Linked DNA regions of Bombyx mori. The protein of the gene in region 1 binds, or shares a complex with, the protein of each later gene. Links are inferred from orthologs where the notes say so. Each region holds a gene or a part of one and is shown on either strand. Other genes may lie near its edges.

Region 1 (4,438 bases):
ATAACATCGTAAGTGCCTCAATAACTAGAAACGTATCAAATATTGTTTTGCACGAGAATTCAATGTGGTAGAGAGTGTGCTGTATTTCACATGTTTGGTTGAGCTCGCTCAATTTCAAGACTTATTGCTTTCAGAACGTAGAAATAATTTTAAGTATTATGAATACCATAAGGTTCTATGTTTGTACGTAGCAAATCACATTAGTTGCTGATTGCTGTACTATTCTCGATGGATTAATAAAGGCTGTTTGTTATACGACCAAGTTAAGTGCGTAGTGACTATTGATTGTGAGTTTTGTCTCTCGTTTGTCTCGTTCGAGTGGTGCGCCGGATGTTAGTCAAAAACAGTGTACTGGTTTGCCAAGAGAAGTTACCTACAGTTGTGTTTAGTTAGCAACGCATAACGTGTTTGTACTTTAATTTGTTTTTTAGTTGTACTCTTGGAAATCAATGGTTATTAATTTAAGAAAATAAAATGTATGTCAAATATTGTTGAAAATGTTTTATTTTTTATCCGTCTTTTATAGCGTCAAACGAAAAATCAGTTATTTCCTGGAAACATCGGGGTTAGCTTTGAGAATGTTTGGAGATCACAGTATCGATCAACCCGAATTGTACTAGCGAACATTTCAAGAAATCTTGCAAGTGGACATATTTCAAACCTAACTTTGGACTGTGGGTGCATTATTTTTAGAGCGTGGACTGTATTTTGGTGCTAGAACCGGTCACCATCCTCGTTGAACCCGTCGCTTGCGACGATGGGCTCGACGAGTGAATTAGCCCATAGACACAGCCCACTGAGTTTCTCGTCGGAGCTTCTCAGTGGGTTGCGTTTCCGATCCGGTGGTAGATTCTGCGAAGCACTGCTCTTGCTAGGGCCAGTGTTAGCAACACTTCCGGTTTGATCCCCGTGAGCTCACCTATATGTTAGGATGAAGCTGAAATAGCTTTTCAAGGCTATAGCAAGGATATACCATAGGTAGGAAAAAAGAAAAGAGAAAAAAAAGAGGTGCTAGCTTCAATAAAAACTAGATTCAGAGCGAAGAATTTTTGATGTACAACACGTGCACGTACGACCAGAATTTTATTGTAATTCTCAAATATTAAGTGTATAATCTATGATTGTAACTAAATTAAATGTATGGACTTTTTGGCGGGAACGCGAGGAGTGAAGTTGTGTGATTGGTTTTATTTTCTCTATTTAGTGTTTCTTCAGGTTTCAGTGTGTAATAACGGTGGTTTATTAACTGTTTAATATCTGCGAAAGTGCACAAATGTGGGAAAATGAAACAAAGCCGCTAGACGTAGCAATACGGGATCCTCCAAAAAGTCCACTGAAAAAATCTTAGTAAATGACACCATTTTACTGAGATTATATTTCATCCCATATCATCTCATCTCATTTAATTTAATTTCATTTCATTTCACTCCATATTATCATTTTTCATAAAAATAAGAATATAAATTAAAATAAGACATGACCTAAAGGTCTTAGTTACCAGGTCATAACATCCTATAAAAATTTACCATAGGCTATAGAGCTCAACTATGCGCCAAGCGAAGGCTAAATAAAAATTAAGAAAAAAAAATCTTCTGTCAAAAGGTCCGCCGCCTGCCACATGTCACCACATCGTTTTTATTGTGATTTATAATAAACTATTAAATAAAATACTTTCTAAACATGGTAAATAACACTCTTATACAAAATTTTAATGCCTCCAAAGTTATTGTGTGAAATATCAAACAAATTCAATCACAAACATAGCTATGACTATAAATTAGGTAAATTACTTACTCATGTAATTCCAGAAACCTCTTATGCTGCAAGGGCACCAGCGTGCCATCACACAGATCAAATATAACCGCGAGGGTGACTTGCTCTTCTCCGCCGCTAAAGATTCAAAACCAAATGTTTGGTGGTCACTGAACGGCGAACGTCTTGGCACTTTCAACGGCCACGGTGGTGTAATATGGTGCCTTGACGTCGACTGGCAGTCAATTAATCTCATCACAGGTGGTGGCGACAGTTCCTGCAGGTATTATCCTCAGTATATTATAAACAAATAAAGTGTTGAAAATTGCATTCTTTTTTCATGTTGTTTGCTCAAAGATGAGTAGGCTGTTGATAACACTAAACGATGCACAGGTTATGGGATCTGGAGACAGGCAAGAATATTGCAACACTCAAATCCAACTCTTCTGTAAGAACATGCAACTTCAGCTATAGTGCATATCAAGCTGCTTATACCACTGACAAAGCTATGGGACACCCTTGTGAGGTAATTACATAGTATATACATTTTATTTAAATAGAGAAACATGAATTGAGGATGAGAAAGACTAATGGATATTATGACTGGCAACTTTAACATTAGAAGAAAAGTAAAATTGTATGCAAAGCTAAGCATAAATATTATTATAGTTGTTTCCGTTTCAGAACTTTCATTCTCTATTAAACCACAATGTGAACTTGTCTGCTTCACTTCAAAGTGGTTTATTGAGGGCCATGCCTTAAAAAAAATCTTATTTTTTGTTCTTTAACATATCCGTCAATTAATGATTACAACTTAGTATTCAAGAGTAATTCCTACATACCTTGTATTTCTTTAAACTAAGATTTGTTGACAGTACAAGTGTCATTTATGCTGACATTTCACTTTGTTTTTTTTTATTATGCTCCAGACATTTAAAATTTATTATTACCGAAAGGCTCACTTGTAAATTTAATACCCTTTAACTTAAATCACAAAATATTTTGAGCAGGAAATACCCTTTTTCAAACTGAACTGAAACTTTGGAGTCGGTTAAATTATAGTGTGCTTAGGTAGACAATATCAACTCTTGGGAATCTCTATTTTAACCCTTAATGTGTTTCCTATATACATATACAGTAAGTTTTTACTAACTAGTATTATAATTTTGTATATCCTGTGATAACAATTAAGATATAAAGTATTATGTCAATTTACAGGTGTTCGTTATTGATACAAGAACAATTGATGAAACAGTGTCAGGTCAAGCTCCTATTTTAAAATGGGAAATCACAGATTCAAAGGTTACTTCAATGATTTGGGGTTCTTTAGATGAGACAATTATCACTGGTCATGAAGCTGGTGACCTTATACAATGGGATCTGAGGGTATGCAAATAATTATTCAATAGACTAAGTAAATTCAAATATTATCTACTTTCTCCATGCAAAAAAATTATCTTTCATAGAAATTATTCTGTTTATTTTTAAATAGTGCTAATGATATCTAATTATTTTTCAGACTGGTAAAAAAATCCACTCTGTTAAAGAGCATACCCACCAAATCACCGATATGCAACTTTCTCGTGACGGCACAATGTTTGTAACTGCTTCCAAGGATCATACTGCTAAGTTATTTGACACTAACTCATTAGAACTTCTTAAAGAATACAAGACAGAGAGACCTGTAAATTCTGCTGCTCTCAGTCCAATCCTTGATCATGTTGTACTTGGTGGTGGTCAAGATGCTATGGAAGTGACAACCACATCAACCAGACAGGGTAAATTCGATGCTCGTTTCTTCCACTTAGTATTTGAAGAGGAGTTTGGCCGAGTGAAAGGTCACTTTGGTCCTATCAACAGTTTGGCTTTCCATCCAGATGGAAAGTCCTATGCTTCCGGAGGTGAAGATGGTTATGTTCGTGTTCATAACTTTGATCAATCTTACTTTGACTACACTTTCGATTACAATAGGGAGTAGTTAATTTGCAATACTCTAGTGTTTCATAAAATTATAAGAAAATAAAGCCTCATTAAAGTTTTTTGTATATCATTTATTTAAATGCATGCCACTTTATCAATCTACATATATAATAAAACAATTAATTCAGTACGTCTATACATTTAGGAAATTTTATATAAGTAGAAAAATAATAATTAAAGAACAGTAATAGAACATAAACTGGACATTTTTAGAATTGGTCACCATTTGTCTGTTCACCCACATTTGTCACATATTTCTGAATCTATTGAAAGGATTTTCACTGCATATATATTGAAACATTGTATGGAAATAGTTTAACCTTTAAAAAACTGGGATGCCTTTCATTCCACTGCTGAGCATGGATCTCTTCCACCCATGTGATATGTAATGCAGCAGAAAGCTAGTTTGTAATATATTCTGTTAATCCCATTATTCATTTTCAACAGACTATTTCATGATGGTACATATTTAATAATAAAAGGTAAAATTAAATATATAAATATAAAAAACGAAGGTATAAATAATGAAGATTTAAAAAAATTATAGTAATATGTCAAAAAGAACAGATCTCATAATAAAGAACATAAAAGTGGGTCAATAAACAAAAAAATTGTAATAGATGCAACATTTATTAATACAAAACTTTACACTTATGGAATACTTTGATCACATAATCTCAGCTCAAAGGAAATATGGAGTAGTATG
Region 2 (2,741 bases), on another chromosome or scaffold:
GTATTCCTAATTCGAGTAAGAGAAAATTCATTCCTCCCGATCCACTAACGGTGCTTTTAGGTATCTCAAGCACCGGTCATCGTTCTCGTCGAACCCGTCGCTTGCGACGAAGGGCTCGACGAGTAAATTAACCCTCAGACACAGCCCACTGAGTTTCTCGCCGGATCTTCTCAGTGGGTCGCGTTTCCGATCCGGTGGTAGATTCTGCGAAGCACGGCTCTTGCTAGGGTTCGTGCTAGCAACGTCGTCAGGTTCGAGCCCCGTGAGCTCACCTACTACCGTTAAGGTTACGCTGATAAAGCTTTTCAAGGCTCTCAGCTTAGGTAGGTAAAAAAAAAAAACATTTTTTATCATGAGTGATCATCACCTCTCACGTAATTTATTTGAAAGGTTGTGGGCCACCCCATTTTTTTATCTCACCAAGAGCCGATGGTGCGTTGTTAAGTCATTACTAGAACACAGACATCACAATTTGAAAGCCACTATCCTTATGATATTGAATTCCTAATTGTATTTTATTATGACTATCCTTTTAAACCGGACGTACGACTGCTTTGTAGTAGAAAATGACAAGACACCATAAGTAATTATGCAAATTTGTAATTTGTGAGTTTTTAAAGACATTTTAGTATAAATCATTTATTTGTAAATGTTTTGATACAATGGCCATTTTAAATTTTAATATGGTGTAGTTTTCTATTTAGTTCTTCAAACTTCAACAGCTTGCGGATGAAAAAGTCACCATAGCGATGAGCCACTTTCGTATCTGCGATATGAATCATATCGTTGTCGATGTAGAAATCCAACTGAAAAAGAAAAGTAGTATTGAATTATTATTTTATTTCTTTGCTTAAATGTGTGGACGAGCTCACGGCCCACCTGGTGTTAAGTAGTTAACTGAAGCCCATAGACATCTATGCAGTAAATGCCGCCACCCGCCTTGAGATATTATTTCTAAGGTCTCAGTATATTACAACTTTTGCACCACCCTTCAAACAAACTCATTACAGCTTCAGGGCAGATATAGGCAAGGTGGTGGTACCAAGACGTCCTACCACCAGTAATTACGCAAACTATAATTTTGCAGGTTTGATTTTTATTACACTTCCTTCACCGTGGAAGTTAATCGTGAACGTTTGTTAAATATGTATTTCATTAGAAAAATTGCTACATGCCTGCGGGATTCGTATATCGTTGCATCGCTAGATACGAACGCACTGGACGTCTTATCCTTTAGGTCACGACGACTTGAATTCCAGCTTAAGATAAATAATAATTATAGGCAGTATAACAGGTTTGTTTACCTCAGAACCACTTTGGAATTTTCCATCAAGACCACTGGGGCCTTTAGTCCAAACTACGTTCTTCATTTTGTGCTTGAAGCAGAGCAAGTGAATGGCGAGAGCCGCATGTTCACGTGCCGCGTCACGCTCACTGCCGCGAGCAGCAGACATGAATGCAGCTAGTTTCGCCATCGGGAGGGTGGTGTATAGTTTCAAATAGGAACGTATGGTCGGAAGCATTTTTTGTTGACGGACCTACAATATAATAAGTGAAGGTTACTCGTTAGAGATATGAGAAAAAGAGACTCTAAGTTGGCTAAAGTTAAAGTATCAATATGAACAGTCCGCATTGTCGTCGTCGCTGTCGTCGCCGAACATACTGTGGAAAAGAGGAACCCGGTCGGCGGTGTATGGCGTTCTGACCCGGCAGGCTGGTTCTGTCCCAGCGGATCCCGGAACACCAGTGGCATCGCCCGGGCGGCCTAGTAGCGCCGCCGTACCGCGGAGACCGGCGTCGTTGGTTGTCGACTAACGCCTCGACGACCCGTTGGTCGGGCGTCCTTGGGGTGGCGCCGCGTGTCTAGTTGTATTGTTGACCGTGGGAACCCCCTACTCTGACCCCGGATGGAGATCGGACGTCGGGTGTAACAGTGAGTGCAGGGCAGTCGTTTAGTGCGGTAGGGCCCTAAAATTCCTTGGGCCCGCGGTCTGCTCCCAACACCTGCAGACCGTCAAGTCCCACATACCTCGCGCGCCCCCTAGGCGTGGGGACCTCGTAGGTTAGGCCCCAGGACCGAAAAAAAAAAATCAACATGAGATGAAACCATAGTTGGGTATCGTTCAACCAGGTTTAATTAAGCTTGACTCTCATCCTATGAATAGAGATTGTTGGAGTCAAATGAAGAAGAGGTATAATAAACCAAACTAGTCTTGTTTAAATTGATAGATAGATAATGTCACAATACTATCACTAATATTACCTCGTCCATAAAGACTTGGGTCTGGTGTTTGACAGCATCACGGCCATAGTTGGCACCGGGTTCAATGGGCGGGGGACACGCCGATAAGAATTTGGGGCACGCGAAAGTAAAGCAGCTCTCGAATTCACCTAGGTCTCCATATTGCATTTTAAACATCTTCTCATGGTAGTTCTTTTCTCGAAGCACCTGGATATAGAATTTGTATTTGTATGAATATAATATAATTAGTACATACACTATATTTTAAGTCATCTAGATAAAGCTGGTATGATAGGTTACTAACCTGCTGGATGGATTCATCAACGCACTGCGGATGCAAGACCAAACAAATGGCCAGTAAATGGTACATTTGCTCGGTCTGTTTGTTGATCTGATCATTCTGGTAGGAACGGGAGGAGAACAATTGTTTAGTGCGTTGCATGTATAGCAGCGCAGAAGAGAGGGTGCGGATGGCGTCGGCGTACCGACGCATCATCAT

The links. Proteins that work in one complex are often made in the same cells at the same time.
Region 2: eIF3i (region 1) and eukaryotic translation initiation factor 3 subunit L share a complex: the UniProt entries of both Drosophila melanogaster proteins name them as parts of the eukaryotic translation initiation factor 3 (eIF-3) complex. The link is inferred for Bombyx mori from reciprocal best matches to the Drosophila melanogaster genes eIF3i and eIF3l.

The regions. Positions count from the first base shown.
Region 1 is NC_085121.1:5,018,484-5,022,921, reverse strand, and holds eIF3i (eukaryotic translation initiation factor 3 subunit I), read left to right. Parts: upstream 1-1,604; 5' UTR 1,605-1,680; coding exon 1,681-1,683; intron 1,684-1,808; coding exon 1,809-2,035; intron 2,036-2,145; coding exon 2,146-2,278; intron 2,279-2,970; coding exon 2,971-3,138; intron 3,139-3,271; coding exon 3,272-3,730; 3' UTR 3,731-3,931; downstream 3,932-4,438. Other genes in the region: serine/threonine protein phosphatase 6, read right to left, coding at 4,415-4,438. UniProt on the Drosophila melanogaster protein: Component of the eukaryotic translation initiation factor 3 (eIF-3) complex, which is involved in protein synthesis of a specialized repertoire of mRNAs and, together with other initiation factors, stimulates binding of mRNA and methionyl-tRNAi to the 40S ribosome.
Region 2 is NC_085117.1:14,765,991-14,768,731, forward strand, and holds the end of eukaryotic translation initiation factor 3 subunit L, read right to left. Parts: coding exon 2,547-2,741; intron 2,450-2,546; coding exon 2,264-2,449; intron 1,539-2,263; coding exon 1,305-1,538; intron 807-1,304; coding exon 672-806; 3' UTR 624-671; downstream 1-623. UniProt on the Drosophila melanogaster protein: Component of the eukaryotic translation initiation factor 3 (eIF-3) complex, which is involved in protein synthesis of a specialized repertoire of mRNAs and, together with other initiation factors, stimulates binding of mRNA and methionyl-tRNAi to the 40S ribosome.